Linked DNA regions of Xenopus tropicalis. Each later gene encodes a partner of the first gene's protein in a complex. Links are inferred from orthologs where the notes say so. Each region holds a gene or a part of one and is shown on either strand. Other genes may lie near its edges.

The links.
Region 2: eftud2 (region 1) and scnm1 share a complex: the UniProt entries of both Homo sapiens proteins name them as parts of the minor spliceosome. The link is inferred for Xenopus tropicalis from reciprocal best matches to the Homo sapiens genes EFTUD2 and SCNM1.

Annotation. Positions count from the first base shown.
Region 1 is NC_030686.2:17,878,329-17,888,612, forward strand, and holds the end of eftud2 (116 kDa U5 small nuclear ribonucleoprotein component), read left to right. Parts: intron 1-896; coding exon 897-987; intron 988-1,072; coding exon 1,073-1,208; intron 1,209-1,456; coding exon 1,457-1,584; intron 1,585-2,250; coding exon 2,251-2,444; intron 2,445-3,035; coding exon 3,036-3,147; intron 3,148-4,422; coding exon 4,423-4,563; intron 4,564-4,649; coding exon 4,650-4,751; intron 4,752-4,834; coding exon 4,835-4,917; intron 4,918-5,568; coding exon 5,569-5,655; intron 5,656-6,009; coding exon 6,010-6,136; intron 6,137-7,396; coding exon 7,397-7,484; intron 7,485-7,596; coding exon 7,597-7,715; intron 7,716-7,931; coding exon 7,932-8,026; intron 8,027-8,103; coding exon 8,104-8,257; intron 8,258-8,553; coding exon 8,554-8,661; intron 8,662-9,175; coding exon 9,176-9,271; 3' UTR 9,272-9,636; downstream 9,637-10,284. Other genes in the region: higd1b (HIG1 domain family member 1B), read right to left, coding at 9,872-9,969. UniProt on the Homo sapiens protein: Required for pre-mRNA splicing as component of the spliceosome, including pre-catalytic, catalytic and post-catalytic spliceosomal complexes. Component of the U5 snRNP and the U4/U6-U5 tri-snRNP complex, a building block of the spliceosome.
Region 2 is NC_030684.2:137,906,442-137,916,825, reverse strand, and holds scnm1 (sodium channel modifier 1), read right to left. Parts: upstream 6,386-10,384; 5' UTR 6,291-6,385; coding exon 6,240-6,290; intron 5,394-6,239; coding exon 5,323-5,393; intron 5,200-5,322; coding exon 5,111-5,199; intron 4,554-5,110; coding exon 4,456-4,553; intron 3,569-4,455; coding exon 3,471-3,568; intron 3,333-3,470; coding exon 3,196-3,332; intron 2,972-3,195; coding exon 2,839-2,971; intron 2,268-2,838; coding exon 2,168-2,267; 3' UTR 749-2,167; coding exon of another isoform or gene 726-748; 3' UTR 667-725; downstream 1-666. Other genes in the region: tmod4 (tropomodulin-4), read left to right, coding at 36-180, 726-748; lysmd1 (lysM and putative peptidoglycan-binding domain-containing protein 1), read left to right, coding at 6,801-6,971, 8,525-8,829, 10,289-10,384. UniProt on the Homo sapiens protein: As a component of the minor spliceosome, involved in the splicing of U12-type introns in pre-mRNAs. Plays a role in the regulation of primary cilia length and Hedgehog signaling.

The DNA.
Region 1 (10,284 bases):
GTGTTTCTTCCTGTGTGAAACCACACACAAATACAGTCTGATGAATACAAAAAAATAACAAAAGAAAAGTCAGAGAATTTTACTGCCCTAATGACTAGAATCTCAGCCATAAAGCAGAGCTGCTGTACTGCAATCACAAGACTGATTTTCAAAATGTAAGAAAATTATTTTTGTAGTACTGTGGTGGGACTTGTACACTGGGGTCCAAGTACTTGATAATTAGTATGGCAGCTTCCTTAGCGTTCCCAAACTTGCTTTTGTCTGCTGCTGTAGCATTTTTCTTTCCCTAAAGTTATCTATTTATCTGTTATTTATTTGATTATTGAAACTTAGCAGTAGCGGCTGCATTTCCCACCCTAGGCTTATACTTGAGTCAATACGTTTTTCCAGTTTTCTTAGTTAATATTAGGTACCTCGGCTTATATTCGGATCGGCTTATACTCGAGTATATACGGTACTTATTCTTTAAAGACTACAAATTATAATTTTTACACCAAATGGGGTTTTTTTTTCCTTCTCTGATCATTTTTGCAGTATTTTATTGATCTGTATTTGACCTGGGGGAGGGCAGTGACAGAAGATTATTCCTACAAGTTCAAATTGCCCTTTATTACTAATTACAGAAAAGTCATTTCTGAGGCGTTTAAAGCAGTAGTACTTAACTTGATATAAATAAAAGACCCACTTTAGGCAAAAGTCACACTTGTAATTATCATACCCATGCAGAATAACGGTGCAAGATGAGTTGACCTTGCTGAGTATGGCTAGCTTTACTTCTTTGCCAAAACCCACTCAAGTGTTGGTCAGGACCTTTCCACAAAAGTCTGCTTGTAGTCTCTTTTGAACCAAATAACCCCTTGAGGCACGCCTCGCTCACAGCGCTTCTCTTTCTCCAGCCGCAAGTTCACCAAGAAAGCCCCTACAAGCAGCTCACAACGCAGTTTTGTGGAGTTCGTACTGGAACCTCTCTACAAGATTCTGGCTCAGGTATGTGGATGGTGTTAATAGTGCCAAGCTTATCTTTGCCCATCTGAGATCGCTTGATAATTTTAGCGCCTTCTCTGCGCTGTAGGTGGTGGGGGATGTAGACACCACTCTGCCGCAGACTCTAGAGGAGCTGGGAATTCATCTGACCAAAGAGGAGCTGAAACTGAACATCCGTCCCCTCCTGAGACTTGTCTGTAACCGCTTCTTCGGGGAATTTACCGGTAAGAGCCAGCTGCTCCTAATTTTGTTAAAGCGAGCTCACCGTGTATTGGATTTTCATTAAGGCTGTAAATTTGTGCTCTGCTTTTAAAACTTGCTTTGAATGTAACCTTTTAAGTAGGTTAAAGATTATATGGTTTAAAAATGTGCTTTAAATTCTGTTTAGGATCTTAAATCAGTCTTTGCTTGCCCCACTTATATGTGTTTTTTCTTTTTGAGCTTTTTTGCTGATGAAATTGTTGCTCTACAGGTTTTGTGGATATGTGCGTCCAGCACATCCCTTCACCCAAAGCGGGGGCAAGAGCCAAAATTGAACACACCTACGCAGGGGGCATTGATTGTGAACTAGGGGAGGCCATGAGTGAATGTGACCCAGATGTAAGTACACAGCTCATGCACAGATTACTTTTTTTTTTTCTTGTTTACTGTATGGCTGAAAATTCTCTGCTAGGTATTGATTCCACTAACAGATTATTTACATGTATGAATCCTGACTCAGTATGTGTTCACTATCCCCCACACATCTTTATTTTATGTAATAGTTTGAATTCTCAGCCTGCTCTCATGCAGCTAATGTAGAAGCACATGAAATCTGAAAAGAGGCGTACAGGAATCTGTAGCATCATTAGGTTCCAGACAAGGGATAGGGCTTTAACAGTTCACTGATATAACCTGGAATGCTATTGTAGTAATAGAAGTTTGTTTATGAAACATGAGCATTTTTTTAAAAATCCACTATAGGTTTTCTGTAGAGACAATTAAAAGAGAGTCAAAGTGTAAAATGACAAGGGGGTGCTATCTTTGTTGTGCCTAGGTGTGCAAATTACTTGTAAGCCTTTTCTCTGGCTTTACTCCCTGACACCCTGTTTTCACTCTCTGGTTATTGGTGCATGATTAAAGTAGGATAAGGAAAGATTTAAGTTCTGGCAAAACTGTAAGAGCACACACTCTAGATAGTGACCACAAGCATGCTGGTTTATATTTGATATAATTTGAAGTATCTTATTAACTGACATTCGCCACAAAACTGTTGCTCCCTTTCAGGGCCCTCTTATGTGTCACACCACCAAGATGTATAGCACAGATGATGGGGTGCAGTTCCATGCATTTGGGCGGTTACTGAGTGGAACAATCCATGCTGGGCAACCAGTCAAAGTTTTGGGAGAGAACTATACACTGGAGGATGAAGAGGACTCTCAAGTTTGCACTGTAGGGAGGCTGTGGGTGTCTGTAGCTAGGTGAGTGATATACAGGGGTGATTTGGACATGTTTTTCAAGCAGACTTGCTTCAAATTAGTCAGATGGCATCTCTGTTTAGAAACTGTGTCACAGTGCCTCCACTGGATTGAAATCAGGACTTTAATGTCAAAGGGGAACTAAAAGTCCCATCCCTAATCGCATAAACCTGACTGGGTAAAAGTCATGTGCCCGGTACCTGGTTCCAAAGTAGTTGGGCAGTGGGGTTCATTACCAGACCAGGGATCCATAGCAATAGTCATCGAGCAGGAGCATGATTACTGGCTGCCATCATGGGTTTTGTTTGCATTCACATGGGTAGCAATCAATAACGTAGAGCCTTGAGTTAAGCACTGAGCAAACATGGCAACTGCAACCCCACTGCTCAGCTCTGCATTTAATTTGGTTTATAATGTAATATTTGAACAATAATTTGCGGAAGATTAAGAATTTGGAAACAAAGGATCCCTCATAGAAGTATTACTTTCCAGTAACCTATGATTAACAGGTTTTGGGGGGCATGTCTAAAGAGAAGTGAATGAATAAGTCATATTTAGTTATCTGCCTCCCAAATGTATTGATCTTTCATTTAGGTATCACATTGAAGTGAACAGAGTTCCAGCTGGAAACTGGGTGTTGATTGAGGGTGTGGACCAGCCAATTGTGAAGACGGCAACCATCACAGAGCCACGGGGCAATGAGGAGGTATGAATGATTGAACAATTATACATAACAGTGACCACAGCTCTTTTATGAAGAGGGTATGATAACATTCTTTTTTCTGCCACATAGCAGTTTTTTTTGGCCCTGTTGTATTTTGGTACTTGCATCTCTGTTACACCGAGTGTGTTAGTTTACTGTGTGTAGAACTATAAGATTGGTTATGCCAGGACTTTTTTTTTTTTTTTTGCCTTAGTGTTTAGTCAAGTTCATTTTTGCATGCAGCAGTATCTGGTACAAAAATGCTTAAAACTTAACTTAGGCAATTGTAGTCTTCTGTGCATGTGTTTAACATGTAAAAGGTAGTTCCCTATACAATGTGGCACAGAGACTTCCCTCAGAGACGAAGCCACTGACAGGGCCTATGATTACCTCAACCAGAGACAGATTGATACAATTTAAGATCATGCACAGGCTTCAACTAACCCCCCTGAGACTGTATCGTATGAATAGACGTGAGTCATCTCAATGCCCCAAATGCAATGCCCTATAGGCAAACTATATACACCTCCTTTGGCAATGCCAAACCATCCAATCTTACTGGGCACAAATAATGAGCTATATCAAAGAGAAAACCCAAACATACTAACACCCAAGGTCTGCCTATTGGGAGTGGTCGATGACCTCACCCCAACAATCCACATGAGAACTCTCTTCCGCAGTTTAGTGTTCTATGTTAGGAAATGTATACTACTACACTGGATGGCTCAAGCCCCTCCCACAGTAGATAGATAGCTAAACCTGGCGGAGCTGGATAGATGCCACAGACTGAACTGGTCCCCTCCCTCCCCATCGTAAGGACCATTACTCTAGACTAGACTGAATGCAAATCTCATATGTGCTATCTTATTCAAAACTCAGGACAACATGATGTAAAACCACATGATGTTTATTAATGTTACACGTTTATATGTATTGTTTCTATGTTAAAAATGCAAAATAAAAACCTTTAAATAAATAAATAAAGGTAGTTCCCTAATTAGTGCTGTCATCAGGGAAATCCTTTGCCCTGCCCCCCAGTTTGCTCGTGCAAAAAAAGATTTCCCTGTCAATAGCTATTAATGTAAATCAGTTAGTACATTGGCCTAGATGTGTCAGCGCAGAGTATGCTATATCATCTCATTATGCAGACTATGTATTGATGTGTTTAAATGATCACTTGGTCCTGAGCAATCATCTAGGAATTAGCTTAATAATAGAGTAAAACCACTTATGCTGTTATAAATCAAATAACAATTTAATTTGAATCCTGCATCTTAGGCTCAGATTTTTCGACCGCTAAAGTTCAACACCACGTCCGTTATTAAAATTGCTGTGGAACCAGTCAACCCCTCAGAATTGCCCAAGATGTTGGATGGGTTGAGGAAGGTCAACAAGAGCTACCCTTCCCTTACTACCAAGGTACTGCTCAATTCTTCCACATAATATCATTTTAACCTCTACTGCTAGGCTTGAGGCTTAGCCTAAAATACCTGTTGTCTCTGTAGGTGGAGGAGTCCGGGGAGCATGTGATCCTCGGTACCGGAGAGCTGTATCTGGACTGTGTCATGCATGACCTCCGCAAGATGTATTCAGAGATTGACATTAAGGTTAGGCTGGGTGGTATCTGTTTGGGGAGGGTGGGACTCGCAGCCTACAGGACTTGGGGAGTAACTCAACATTTTGTTTTCAGGTGGCAGATCCCGTGGTTACCTTCTGCGAGACTGTAGTGGAAACCTCATCACTGAAATGTTTTGCTGAGACACCAAACAAGAAGTAGGTCCATGTTATTTATTAGCTTTTTCCTCAGAACTTTTCTTTGTTGCAAAGCACATTAAACAGCCCCTTTCTAGACTTAAATTGGAACAAGTACATGTCGGGCCATTTCAGTGCAGTTTCTGGACTTTGTTTTTTCGGGCTTTATAAACATGAAGCTCAGACTGCCCAAGTGGCCAGTGATCTTGGTCATCTTTCTAGTTATCTTCAATATACAGCACCTTAGTCATTTCATGCATCAACCTTTAACTGACCATTTATCAATGCTAAAGTGATGGCTTCTGGGACTTGAAGTGCCTTTGCTTTCTATGGTGGACAGAGATTCCCTGGAAAGCAGAAGGACTTCCATTTTCAGAACCCATCATTTCAGCATGGAACAAGGCGAGAGAGAGAGGTTAAATGACTTTTACATAAGCCCAAATAAATGTACTCATGCCAAACAAAGGGATGTTTTTTCCTTTAAGCAAAGCTTTTTAACAGTTTCATGACATTTTGGCCACTAGAGGCCAGTGTTTCCCACAGTGAGAAGTTCAATATTTGAACACAAATATCCCTATTTTTGTTTTGAAACATTTATTTCAAATGAATGGTTGGATAATATATATTTGCTGGAGCTGCCTCAGTGCTAACAGGCATGAGTTTTCTTTGCAGAAATAAGATCACAATGATTGCGGAGCCGCTGGAGAAAGGATTGGCTGAGGACATAGAAAATGAAGTGGTGCAGATTTCCTGGAACAGGTATTGCATGAGAACTGCACCCAGCTGTCTGAAAGCCGTGGTTGGGTTACACCATCATGTATCTTTTAGCCTTTTTACAGAGAGCCGTAAGCTTTGTGCATGTAAAGTGGGAATCTTTGTAGAATTCACAGAAGTGGTGGTGTGTGATACTGACACCAAAAATATTTTTAAAAATATGAATGTACATAAAATACCGATATCCTTCAAATTAGCGCTAAACATAGAAGATTCTGCAAATTTTGGTTCTTGATGCTGTAATGTATATGTTTAGTTTCTGTATATTGACAGCACCTGAAATATTGCCTCTCGTGATTGTTAAAGCTGTGTGTGAACTCTATATCTTTTCCTCTTCAGGAAGAAGCTGGGAGAGTTTTTTCAGACCAAATATGACTGGGATTTGCTTGCTGCCCGTTCTATTTGGGCTTTTGGACCAGACACAACTGGACCAAATATTTTGGTTGATGACACGCTCCCCTCCGAGGTAGGTGGCACTTGTGCAGTAGAGGAGATTGTTTGTTCTTGTACTCATCCTTTATCCTCCAGGCTTTCCTTACCTATTAGTGTAAAAGCACCTGCATAAGTTTTAGCTTTCCATGGGCAAAAGAACACTGATAAAATGACTTCTGCCAGTGCACCTATGGGTTAAGGCAGTGATCCCCAACCAGTGGCTCAGTAGCAACATGTTGCTCACCAACCCTTTTGATGTTGCTCCCAGTGCCCTCAAAGCAGGAGCTTATTTTTAAATTCTAGGCTTGAAAGCAAGTTTTAGTTGCATCAAAACCATGATTACTGCCAAACTGAGTCTCCTTTAGGCTGCCAGTCCACATAGATGTTACCAATTGCCAATCACAGCCCTTATTTGGCACCCCCAGGAACCTTTTGCATGTTTGTTTTGTTTTACATTTGAATGTGGCTCACTGGTGAAAAAGGTTGGAGACCACTGGCTTAAGTGATTACAGCTTCATGATTGGCTGATGTAACCTCTTTAGGTTATACTGCAGTAGTCTAGTATGATCCACCTGGTTTTTGTATCAGTTGATTGGGGTGCAGATGTTGCCTATAGTACCAGAACTCAGCTGGTGATTTAAATTCAGGTTTCCTTTTAGACAAAGACTTTCATTCTGCTCTCAGAATTATTTCTGCAATTGAGTTCCAGGGAGTGCAGATGAAATCAGAGCTGCCTTCCCTGGCCAAACATTTTTGTGCCAAACTAGCAAGGTATTGACACAGACAAAGCCTCTCTTATGAATGTCTAGTGCTCTTCTTCCAGGTACCACTTCTGCCAGCCAGGTTTGCATTTCCGGCCACTGGGAGAAACAAGCCAGCAGCCAAAATATAAAGACCGGCTCCCTTTTAAGATTTTTTTTAATGCTCACAATTCTGGTTGAGGAAGAAAAGCAGGTCCTGATTAAAGGAGAACTAAACCCTAAAAATGCTAAAGGGCTGTGGTCGCTTGGGCTGCTACAGAAGCCCTAACCAAAATGTACAACATTTTTAGCCTAATTCTTTAGTTAAGCTTTAGTTCCCCTTAAAATATTTTATTACAACGCAGTGATTAACAATTAACCTCAACCTACATCCATATTTGCCCCAGTGCTCTAGCAGCGACATTACCCTAGAGTGTAAATGCAGAAGTAGCTTGCTACAGGGATCTATATCTCTATATCTATCAGCTAGAGCTGCTTATGTGCACTGCCCATCAACTTGCATGTTAATGAAATTCTCCGTTGTGCCCTAATAGGTGGATAAGGCGTTGCTGAGTTCAGTCAAAGACAGCATTGTACAGGGATTCCAGTGGGGAACAAGAGAGGGTCCGTTGTGTGATGAGTGTGAGTATCTGGCTGCACCTTTCTCTGGTTCCGTCACAGTGTAACATTGGAAACATTCTACAGTTTGGCACTACAGGGAATTGCTGATTTTCTGCTCTCCTTTGCTCCTCAGTGATCCGCAATGTCAAATTTAAGATCTTGGATGCTGTTATCGCACAGGAGCCCCTACACCGTGGTGGGGGACAGATCATCCCCACAGCCCGAAGAGTGGTTTACTCCGCCTTCCTAATGGTAACATCCTTTGTCACCACATTGACTCAATACACATGTTCCTTTATATATAATACAGAAGTGTCTCTGTGCCCTAAAACTGTATCCCCCACTATAACAAACAAGCACCTTCATGTATATATGTATTTCCTGTCTATACCATACCGTCTCTTTATATAAGACATGTGCCTTGGTTCTTCTCTCTTAAACACAAAGTACTTTCCTCTGTAAATACAGGCAACTCCTCGTCTAATGGAGCCCTATTATTTTGTGGAAGTACAAGCCCCTGCAGACTGTGTCTCTGCTGTTTATACTGTTTTGGCCCGAAGAAGGTGAGTAATTGAGATTCCGCTTCCTGACCAACAGTATTGTCCCATAACATACTCTAAATATATTTCATTTTCTACAGAGGGCATGTGACTCAGGACGCCCCAATTCCTGGGTCGCCTCTTTACACAATCAAAGCCTTCATCCCAGCAATAGATTCATTTGGGTTTGAAACTGACCTGCGAACACACACCCAGGGACAAGCCTTCTCCTTGTCTGTCTTCCATCACTGGCAGGTACAAATCTAACCATCTGGGATATCCTGGGAAATCAACTTGGATATGGTTTGAAATAGTGGCACCCCCGTGATTTTACCACGCCATTTCCTGCTTTCTGACAGTTAGTGGCATACTGACATAGAACATCTTGCAAAGGAAGGGAAAGTAGAAGTTATTGATAGTTCATTACCCATTTTCTGTTTCTGCACCCCCCACTGTGCTTTGGGAAGGTGCCTACCCCTAGTTCTGGCGCTAGTATTTTCATAATGCACTGTGCCAGTTTGCTGTTTAACTTGCCTGCTATCTTTTGGTAGATTGTTCCTGGAGACCCTCTGGATAAAAGCATCATTATACGGCCCTTGGAACCACAACCAGCACCACACCTTGCCAGGGAGTTCATGATAAAGACAAGGCGTAGGAAGGTAAGTTCTATGTGGCTGAGAAGGAAGAGAGGGCAGGTTGTTCAAAGACTGTTTGGGGTTTCTTTTCATAAGCAATTTCAATCCTAAACAGTGTGTTTATGAGTAAATTGGTGGCTTTTCTGAGGAACTGCAATTCTCCGTGGCTTCATAAGCAGCTGTAGCACCTGGAGAAGCATAGGTTGTGGGGAAATATACAAATGAAAGGAATAATGTCATGCCAGTTTGTCATTTAAGAAATTGGACTTTTTAAAATCTTCCGTGGGCTCAGATAGTGCTACATCTGAACTCGAAACAAATGTTTTGCTCACTTAGTCTGCTCAGCTTCCTGGCTGCTGCAAACTGTTACACATTCATCTTTTGTATTTAGGAATTAGGCCAGTTCTTTTCCCAGAGTTGCATTTCTCTTTCCTGTTAATACTGCTGCAGAGACAGCTTCATGCTCTGTTCTTGTATAAAGGAGTGCCTCGCCCCCTTCTGCATTTAACCTCTTACATTATTTCTTTACCATGCGTAGGGCCTAAGCGAGGATGTGAGTATCAGCAAATTTTTCGACGATCCTATGTTGCTGGAACTGGCGAAACAGGATGTGGTGCTAAATTATCCTATGTAAAAGGGACATGTGTCCATCCAACCCCCGTGATTGTACTCTCCCTCATTCCATAAGGCCACATACTCTCACACAACAGCTACCTGGTACTTCTGTCGTCAAACCAGACATGAGTTACAGTTGTTAAACCACTGCCAGCGGGGTTAGACAGGCATAGGTCAGGTTTCTGGCCACTTTGTAAAACAACCCCAGTCGCTATGTTCCTATTTTTTTTGAGCAGTGCGTCCAGAGATTGAGAATCCCAAATTGTCCAAACAATGTCCATAGAGTGGAAGCATAAAGCACGCCTGACCTTGCAGGGTTATTTGTGTGACGTGTACATACTGTTTATTTTTATGTTTTAAAATAAACATAACGATAATTTGTAAGTGTGGCTTCATTATTGTGTTCTATGACTTTCCTGATAATTGGGGGGGTCAGTCTTTACACTCCAATCTTTGCATTTATGGCATTAGACCAGAAACCACATTTATTTTCATGAATGTTTTACAACAAAGGCACTAAAATCTCCCCATCAGAAGTCAAGCTAACCTGCCTATAGATTAGGGAGGAGAAAAATAATCCTACTACTTTGTTTCTATTTCCCATTTTCTGGCAATCCATTTACTCATCAGTATTTCTGCTGTTCTGCTGTTCCAGTGCAGCATCTCTCTCCTCAGCCCACCGCTGCCGGTACTCTTTGATCATTGTATAAGTAGCACCTGTTGGGAAATAAAGCCCGTAATAAGGTGAATTATAGTCGGCCCAATACTGGTTTAAAGTAGAACAGTAGAAAAGTAATTTTTTCCCATTTTGTGGGCAGTGCCACTATAGATGGCTGATTTTATACAGGCACCTTAACTGGCAGAGGGTTTTGTAATTAAGGGAGGGATGCAGTGATACATAAATAAACAAGATATTTAAAGGATAAGTAAACCTATTAAAGCGATACTTTAATGAGAAAACTTTTTTTTATTTTTGTTTTAAACACATCAGTTAATAGAGCTTCTACAGAATCCTGCATTGAAATCCATTTT
Region 2 (10,384 bases), on another chromosome or scaffold:
TGGACTGAAACATGTTGCACTCTCCTGCCCCCTAGCGCCAGAACCTGGGAGATACAGTTGAGATGGAGATGGCCTCCATGCTGGAAAATTGCCCTTCCATCATAAGATTTGGGTATCACTTCACACGACAAGGACCAAGAGCCCGAGCCGCCACAGCCATCACAAAGAACCTGGAACTTCGTAAGTGTCCATTCCTAATCAGCACCATGTGACCTCAGGGTGGGCGGTGGCCTATCCTGGAGTATCTTATTTAAGATATCAGCTCAATGTCAGGTTGTTGTAAAGAGCTGTGGGACCTCCAAGCATAACAAGCATCTCCATTACTCCAGAGCCCAGCTCCCTGACACAGTGGTACTGCTAGATACAACTAGTAGTTTTAAAGGCCCCAAAACTACTCTGTACAACCCCCAGAAAAACATACCTTTCTCCCTGTCTGCATATTTATTTCGTTTTCCTATTATAAGCTGAACTGCAGCTCTTTTACCGACTTCCTAGTCTGAAGACCCGCCCTCTTTTCTGAGCTTTATGCTAGACAAGGAAGTAACTAAAAGAACTGCTGTTCAGCAAAACAGTAAATCTGCATGTAGAAAAAAAATATATTATTCCAGGGGTTGTACAGAGTAATTTTAGAAATTTAAAACTTCTTACGCCTGTTTTTATTGGTTCGGGCTCCCTGTGACCTCAGCAGCGGGACGGTGTAACCGCCTCTTCCTTTTGTTTTCTAGGTCGCAAGCAGAAGAAGGTCTAAGGAGTCCGTTGCCCTCCTGATTGTCGAAATGTCAGTGTTCTCCCGTTACCTATAAATAGGCTCTGTTCTGTGATGTGTCATGTTTGTGTACAGCGCATTGATTGGACGGAGGGCGGATTTGGCTAGGCCCCACGGGCGTAATTCACGGAGAATATTCAGGAGACTATAAAGTGGAATAAACAGGGCACACTAGGGTCTTTCCTCTTGTATATACGTTTCTACCCCACTATGTTATCATCATCATCATCTCAGTGGCCTTCTCAGATACTTCCCATGCTGCCCCGCTGCTTATCTCCCTCTTAAGCCCCGCCCTTTTCCTCCATGTACAGCACCTTCTTTCCTTACAGGCTGCACTTTAACGCTCACGACATTGTGCCGAAGGCTGCGACGGAGCTGAAGTGACGCCAATACCACGGGTTTGGGGGGGAAATAAATACATTATATTTAACAAGTTGTAAATAAAGTGACTTTGAACTCAATGGCTGCATAATGCATTCTAGATAGATCCATCGGCAAGTAGATTGCACCCCAAGAGCTGGTTGGGTTGGGTGCTAGCCACCCGCGTAGTCCGACCCCCCCCCGGTTAATATCATGGTGGTTCCCTGGGGTATATCTTCCCCCGGGCTCCTTTACACGTCTGCAAGCTCCTTGCTCTATAAAAAGCCACTGCTGCTCGGCTCTCGGCCTCTGAGGTCATGTGGTGTATTTATATAATGAAGAATCAGCAGTTGGTGAAGGGCTAAGGTTTGTGGGGTGGGGGACTCACAGCTCGGCAAGTACAGTCACCCCCCCCCCCCCCCCCCTCCCGTCTGTTGAACTGCTGCTCCTTACTGAGAAAATCCTCCTGCTCTGTAAACCACATCAACCAGATGTTTCGCCTTCATAAACTGGGCATAATAGAGAAATGTGATTAAAGGGAAAGTGCAACTGACTGGGGCTAACTCTATTCTGGGAAGGGGCTGCGCCTGGTTTATTCCTGCATATAAAAGTCCATATATCTGTGTGTGGTTCAGGTTTCAGAGTCAGGCTCCGAACCAATAAATAGCGCAGAAATGTGGCCCTTAAGGCATATATAGTAACAAGGTGTCTCAGTTTCACGCAGTGCACAGATGCCAAGGGACGGGAAGGTTTTGGAAAACAGATCCGAGAGTGGATGCTTGGGCTGCAGTGCCCTCTAATGGGCAGAGTATGGTAATGCAGGACTGTGCATGAATTCTAATGTCATTTTGTGCCCAGTCATTACACCAGTGGGCGCTGTTCCTGTAGGCAATGCCAAGCTGTGCTGCCACCCACCCACTTGTTTCACACCGGCTGTATTACAGTCGCTAATGCTGTACCCACACGGCTGCTTTTGTCCCCAAGTGGATGACGTTACACCTTCAGGGTTGCTACTGTCACATCACACGGAGAACCCACCAATCAGGAGGGGGGCAAGGGTGGAGGTTCCTCCTCATCAGAGTCAAATTCGACATTCTCATCCTTTACCCACTTGCCAGTGCCGTCAGGTAGCCACCCAGAGCTGTGGGGAAGAGACACTGTTACACAGCAAATAATTCCCTCTGCCATTTAACATTTTATTCTTGAACCAACAAATGTATTTGTAGCTGTAATATTGGTGTGTAGGCGCCATCTCAGTGCACTGTGCCTGAGTCTGAGCTTTCAGCCAGCGCTACACATTAGAACTGCTTTCAGCTAACCTATTGTTTCTCCTACTCCCATGTAACTGGGGGAGTCCCAAGCCGGACTTGGATTTCTTACTATTGAGTGCTATTCTGATACCTACTGGGAGCTGCTATCTTGCTCCCTTCCCATTGTTCTGCTGATCGGCTGCTGGGGGTGAGGGAAGGGGGGGATATCACTCCAACTTGCAGCGCAGCAGTAAAGTGTGCCTGAGTCTGAGCTTTCAGAAGGAGCCAGCGCTACACATTAGAACTGCTTTCAGCTAACCTATTGTTTCTCCTACTCCCATGTAACTGGAGGAGTCCCAAGCCGGACTTGGATTTCTTACTATTGAGTGCTATTCTGATACCTACTGGGAGCTGCTATGTTGCCCCAACAGGGGTTAGCAATCCCAGCAAGGTAACTCCTACCTCTTCAGTCGCAGGTAGTGCTCCATAGTCCTCTCCCTCTCTGGGTCTGGAATTTCCTTCTTGACTTTCTCCTCGCCCTTCTTCTTGTGCTGACTGCCGTGCTTTTCTGCCGGGACCTCCTGCTTGGGAATCTCTGGATAGGGGAACGAAGAGAGGCTGAGAATGAATGAGTGCAATTCACAGTAATGCTGGGAGTTGTAGTTTGGCTACATTAGGAGCACAGGTTTGCCCTATATACAGATCAGATTTACTTGTGTATACAGTAGCAGCCTGGCTAAGATTGGTATTGGCTCCCTATAAATAAAGTGTCCAGTTGTCATCTTAATCTCCCAGAATCCTCTCTGGCGAATGGCTCACCTGTAGGGCTGCTGCAGTGTCCACTAGGGGGAGAATGTAGGGAGGCATCAGATGCACTGGGCCCAGACTGGGGATGGTTTAAGCCTGTGGGTAGGCTGGAATGGCAATCATAGACTTTCCTGCTATTGGCTACTGATCTGCAAATGAGAAACAGCAGAGAAATATAATTGTCGATAATATGGTTTGGCCATAAGAACAGAGAAATCCGGGGGCCATTAGCAATGGGTCATTATTATATCAATCATTCACATAATGCTCAGCCCCAACTGATTTACTTGTGAGAGCAGCAGCTGTTGTACGGGGCAGATTTCAGCAGAGCATGCTGGGTAATCTTCCTTGTCTGGACCAGCAAAGGGGCGGGACCTGGTGGACGCTGGCAGATATGAGAGCAAATAAAAAAAAGTTACTCAAAACTATGGCAGCATAGGGATTCCCCTGTACTAAGCACAATTCAGCAGGAACAGCCCCCTAAGTTTGCTCATAGCCTGTACAGAGAGATACCATAAAACTATGGCACATAGGGATTCCCCTGTACTAAGCACAATTCAGCAGGAACAGCCCCCTAAGTTTGCTCATAGCCTGTACAGAGAGATACCATAAAACTATGGCACATAGGGATTCTCCTGTACTAAGCACAATTCAGCAGGAACAGCCCCCTAAGTTTGCTCATAGCCTGTACAGAGAGATACCATAAAACTATGGCAGCATAGGGATTCCCCTGTACTAAGCACAATTCAGCAGGAACAGCCCCCTAAGTTTGCTCATAGCCTGTACAGAGAGATACCATAAAACTATGGCACATAGGGATTCCCCTGTACTAAGCACAATTCAGCAGGAACAGCCCATTAAGTTTGCTCATAGCCTGTACAGAGAGATACCATAAAACTATGGCACATAGGGATTCCCCTGTACTAAGCACAATTCAGCAGGAACAGCCCCCTAAGTTTGCTCATAGCCTGTACAGAGAGATACCATAAAACTATGGCACATAGGGATTCCCCTGTACTAAGCACAATTCAGCAGGAACAGCCCCCTAAGTTTGCTCATAGCCTGTACAGAGAGATACCATAAAACTATGGCACATAGGGATTCCCCTGTACTAAGCGCAATTCAGCAGGAACAACCCCCTAAGTTTGCTCATAGCCTGTACAGAGAGATACCATAAAACTATGGCACATAGGGATTCCCCTGTACTAAGCACAATTCAGCAGGAACAGCCCCCTAATAGCCAATAGCCTGGAGAAAGAGAAATCTGCCCACCTGTTCTCCTGCATCTTCTGCCTGTACAAAATCAAAATGGCGCCTCTTCTGGATCTCATTGTTATGCTCCAGCTTCTTGCCGTAATACCGCTGCTGACCTGTAGGAGAGTTGAGAGGGAGTCAGCGGCCCATTGCACAAATATGTATTATAGACATGTGACCAGTCATTAAAGGGGATGTTCACCTTTGAGTTAACTTTTAGTATGATATAGAGAATATTCTAAGACAATCTGCAATTGGTCTTCATTTTTTATTATTTGCAGTTTTCCGCAGCTATGTGGTTGCTAGGGTTCAAACTACCTTAGCAACCAGGCAGCAGAATGAATGAGAAACTGGTATATGAACAGAAGAGGGCCTGTATAGAAAGATAATGGGGGAGGAGACAGAATAAAACCTGGTATTGGGGCAGAGACCAGTAGCTACAGGCTCCACATTAAAATGGCATACAGGAAATGAAGTCATAACAGGAAGTTAAGTCACAAAGTCAGACAGGAAGTTATAAATACAAAAATAAATAATTAATAAATCAACAGGGGAACATCCCTAGGCAAGTCTTCGGATCCGCAAATGCCAGACAGGACGTTATGTCAGAAATCTGGAGAGGAAATGAAGTCATAAGACAGGAAATGGATCTCTTTTCTAGTCAGTAACTTACCGGCTAAGTGCTTCTTCCCGCTTCTGTGCACAGACAACATATCGATGGTACTGAAGACGGGCCGGTGATGGCACACGGTGCAAGCGTAGCTGTTATATACACAACACAGTTACACAGAGGGATAGGCAGGGGCCCCGGAATATAAGGGTATATAGAAGCAAGCCCTCCCAGGGGCCCACACCGAGGGAACCAATCAGTGGAGAGACCCTTACCTGCCATTTTTAAGAAGCAAAGCCTCATCCTCCGGGATGTAACTGGCCAGCAGATCCGCCACTCGCCTCTTCTGTAGGGAGACAGGAAATGGGATATTAAATTAACCCTTCCCCCTTACAACTGCACCCTACTCTGCCACAGGCACCCTACCCACACCCCAAACCAAAACCACAGACACCTTACCCTTCCCCACCCACAGGCACCCTACTCTTCCTTACCCCCACCCACAGGCACCCTACTCTTCCTTACCCCCACCCACAGGCACCCTACTCTTCCTTACCCCCACCCACACGCACCCTACCCTTCCCTACCCCCACGCGCCCTACCCTTCCCTACCCCCACCCCCAGGCACCCTACCCTTCCCTACCCCCACCCCCAGGCACCCTACCCTTCCCTACCCCCACCCCCAGGCACCCTACTCTTCCTTACCCCCACCCACAGGCACCCTACTCTTCCTTACCCCCACCCACAGGCACCCTACTCTTCCTTACCCCCACGCGCCCTACCCTTCCCTACCCCCACGCGCCCTACCCTTCCCTACCCCCACGCGCCCTACCCTTCCCTACCCCCACCCCCAGGCACCCTACCCTTCCTTACCCCCACCCCCAGGCACCCTACTCTTCCTTACCCCCACCCACAGGCACCCTACCCTTCCCTACCCCCACGCGCCCTACCCTTCCCTACCCCCACCCCCAGGCACCCTACTCTTCCTTACCCCCACCCCCAGGCACCCTACTCTTCCTTACCCCCACCCACAGGCACCCTACCCCACCCACCCACAGACACCCTACCCTTCCCCCCACCCCCAGGCACCCTACCTTTCCCTACCCCACCCTTCCCCCCACCTCTAGACACCATACCCTACCCTTCCCCCCCCAGACACCCTCCCCTCCCCTGTATGGGTATCACCCCGTACCTTTAGAACGTTCAGCTGGCTCAGATCATCCCCATCCCGTTTAAACGACATAGCCCAGCCTGTAGCGCCCCCTTTGAGAGCTGTAACCCTGCGCGGCCACCGTACTCCTTTCTGCGGCCTTACGGGAAATGTAGTTTATTTCCGGAGAGGAGGAGGCGGAGTCCGGGCATTATGGGACTTGTAGTTCCGTGAGAGCCGCGAATCCTGGGGCAGAGCCTGTGCTGCACTACTGCTCCCGGCATGCCTTGCTCCTGTCACCCCTGCCCAGCAGTGAGCTGTGTATTATTGGGTACTTGCCTGTGCTGGGCAGCTGGAAGGGCTGTGGGTCTGTGCTGGGGGTATTGGGGCAGCTTTTAGCCCAGCCCAACCCCCTTGGGCAAACCCCTGTCAGTGCTGTCATGTGATACTAATGAATTCTCCCTTTTTCTTTCAGTCTGATTGAATTAGTAGCCCAGCATGTGACTGAGGGCTGCAGGGACTCCATCTCTGCCTCCACTTCTGCCTCCACCTCTGCCCAGTCAGACAATGTATAGTTAACTTGCCCTTTAGAGCTCACAAGCCATGGCATCCAACTCTGGGCACAGAGACTCTGGGCTTCTCCATGGAACCAGGACCCGTTCCTATGGCAGCCTAGTCCAGTCGCCCTATTCACCGGCCCGGATCCGCAAACTGGAGCACCAGGTCCAGCCCGGGGACACACTGCAGGGCTTGGCACTCAGATACGGCGTCACGGTGAGTACGGTACCTTCCTATTATAGGGTGTAGGGTGCTGGGAGTTGCAGTTTAGCAACAGCTGGAGACCCCTTGTGTATAACTGGTAATATCTAACAGCTGTTAGTCTCATATGCCCTTTGTACAGTTCTCTACTCCCCCCCCCAGGGGACATGCCTTACCTGCCCCACCCTAGAACCAACCCCCCAGGATGTTATCAGGAAGGCATTGGGTTCAGATACAGCCGGTGGGCCTGATAAACATGAAGGGAAATGAAAATATGGTGAATTTGGTGCACGACACTGTCAGGGCACATTCAGTCCTTATACAAAGTCTCCATTCTCTGGGTATCCGGGATCAGGCTGCATCCTGGTTCTCTTCCTATCTCTCTAACCGCTCCTTCTCTGTCGCTCTTACTAACCAATCCCCTACCCCGGTTCTGCTTAGTGTGGGGGCTCAGCTCAGTGTGGGGGTTCAGCTCAGTGTGGGGCCCTTTGCTTGGCCCTTTGCTGTTCTCCCTGTACACTCTCTCTTTAGGAGACCTTATTTCTTCTTTTGGTCTTAAATATCACTTCTCCTCCTTTCACCATGACTATTGATGGCATGACCGTTAACCCTGTTAATTCTGCACGCTGCCTTGGGGTTATCTGCCATTTTTCCTCTGCAATATTGCCAAGATACGCCCCTTTCTTTCACAAGTAACAGCTAAAACACTAATCCATGCCCTTATCCTTTCTCGCTTAGATTACTGCAATCTCCTACTAACCAGCCTCCCAGACTCCCACCTCTCTTCCCTACAATCTGTCTTCAAAGAGGGAAGCTCTGCCGGGTACATGGGTAGAGTCATTAGCAGTGGGCAAGGCTGGCAGGGTACTGGGTACATGGGCAGAGGGATTAGCAGTGGGTAAGGCTGGCAGGGTACTGGGTACATGGGCAGAGGGATTAGCAGTGGGTAAGGCTGGCAGGGTACTGGGTACATGGGCAGAGGGATTAGTAGTGGGTAAGGTTGGCAGGGTACATGGGCAGAGGGATTAGCAGTGGGTAAGGCTGGCAGGGTACTGGGTACATGGGCAGAGGGATTAGCAGTGGGTAAGGCTGGCAGGGTACATGGGTAGAGGGATTAGCAGTGGGTAAGGCTGGCAGGGTACTGGGTACATGGGCAGAGGGATTAGCAGTGGGTAAGGCTGGCAGGGTACATGGGCAGAGGGATTAGCAGTGGGTAAGGCTGGCAGGGTACTGGGTACATGGGCAGGGGGATTAGCAGTGGGTAAGGCTGGCAGGGTACTGGGTACATCCCCAGCTAAGCTAAGGGCAGCCTTGCTGAGTGACCCCTCCTGGGGAAGTTGCAGGGAAACTAGACGCACCCTGCGCAGCCGACAGTCGGCCGGGATGTGGCCAGAGATTGAGAAATCCCTCTTTCCGAGCCACCACTTCCCCTTTACACAACTGCACTGCAGGAAATTCCCACGAAATGCCCATAGAAGAAATGGCAAATGGTCCAATTGTCACTCTTTGTCAATGTATTCGGGGGGGTCAATTGGACCAATCACAAAATAAATGCCATTTGTCTCCAGATGGAGCAGATCAAGCGAGCCAACAGGCTCTACACAAACGACTCCATATTCCTCAAGAAGTCCCTTTGCATCCCGGTGCTGGCCGACCAATTGCATCTCTCCGACGACCAGAATTCTCAGGACGGTTCAGGGGCCGAAGGGTCTCCCATACAGCAGCAGCCGGAGAGGGGCGAGAAGCAGAAGAGCCGACACCATGCTGCCCAGAAGGACGAGATGTCGCCATTGGACTTCATGAGCAGGTTGGACACCAACATCCGTGTTTCCAAGAGGGCGGCGGTGAAGAAACTCCGGGAAGGGGAGTCCTTGTGAGTATGCTGGGAACCTCGGAATAGGGCTAGTTAGCCTTAGGTTACAATATGGCAGCCACCAAGCCAGCTCTACGTTCATTCCCACGCATGGTTTGATGTATAAACCGCTTTACTTCCCCTTTACTGGCTCTCTTAGGTTCACTTCTCCATTAAGTGTCCCGTGCTTGTGGCATTATGGGTTACATTTGGTGGTTGTTAGGATTCAACTGCCCTTTGATTTGGTAGTCACATAGCTGAGTCCTGCATCGGACCGGGTAGCCACGGAATATGGACAAGATTTGAGCAGAAAAGCCCTGATGCCCTGAGTGTGTGGGCGGTCTGTGGGTACCCAACAGAGGGAGTTGGGCACAGCTGTAAAGTACTGCAGTGCCTCCTAACCACACCCCCTTTTCTCCCAGGTCACGCCTTTACCACCCACATACTTGCCCCAGTCCTGCCCCTAACCATATTCCCTGCTCTGCCTGATTTAGAGGACTTAGGGGGGGCAGGTAAGTAAAATTAGGGTTGAAATCATGACAGAGGGTTACTGGGCTGTTAATACGGGTGGCAGGGTGAGAATGGGGCAAATTAGAGTTCCCCTGGTGATCTAGCCTGTTGGTGATGTCACTTCCGGTCTCCCAAACAAGTAGTGACTGGTGATGGGCGAAATGTTTTGGCAGGCATGGATTCGCGGCGAATTTCCGCGTTTTTCCATTGGTGGATTGTTTAGTGAAACAAATGAAAAAATGACAAAAGAATAGCCGCGGGCGACAAAAGAATAGCCGCGGGCCCCAAAAGAATAGCCGCGGGCGCCAAAAGAATAGCCACGGGTGACAAAAGAATAGCCGCCCAACAAAAGAATAGCCGCGGGCGCCAAAAGAATAGCCGCGGGCGCCAAAAGAATAGCCACGGGCGACAAAAGAATAGCCACGGGTGATAAAAGAATAGCCGCGCAACAAAAGAATAGCCACGGGTGACAAAAGAATAGCCACGGGTGACAAAAGAATAGCCGAGCAACAAAAGAATAGCCGCGGGCGCCAAAAGAATAGCCACGGGTGACAAAAGAATAGCCGCGCAACAAAAGAATAGCCGTGCACCAAAAGAATAGCCACGCAACAAAATAATAGGCGCGGGCGACAAAAGAATAGTCACGGGCGAAATTTTTTAACGCGAAACAGCTGTTTCGCAAATCTTTTGAAAGATCCGTGAATTTTTCGGCGAAGCGTAATGGGACAGATTCGCTCATCACTAGTAGTGACCTCACTCTCTGATTCCCATCGTTGGTCCCGCTAATTCAGATGTCACTTCCTGATTAAGGGGCTTGTGGCGGGGTGGGCGGGTCAGCTGTGGGGAAACCTATTGGCCAGACAGGTCCATGTTGCAGGTGTGTTGGTCTGGGTCGGGTCTGAGGCTGCCAAAAAGTCACCTGACTTCAGAGAAAAGCAATTCTGTAACGTGTGCCCACCATTATTTCCAGCACCACGGAAGATGAGCCTACGGCGGGCAGCGCCGGGGGTTATCAGTCGCCCAACCGCACCCCTTCCAGCCAGTCTTCCCCGCAGACCCAGCAGCG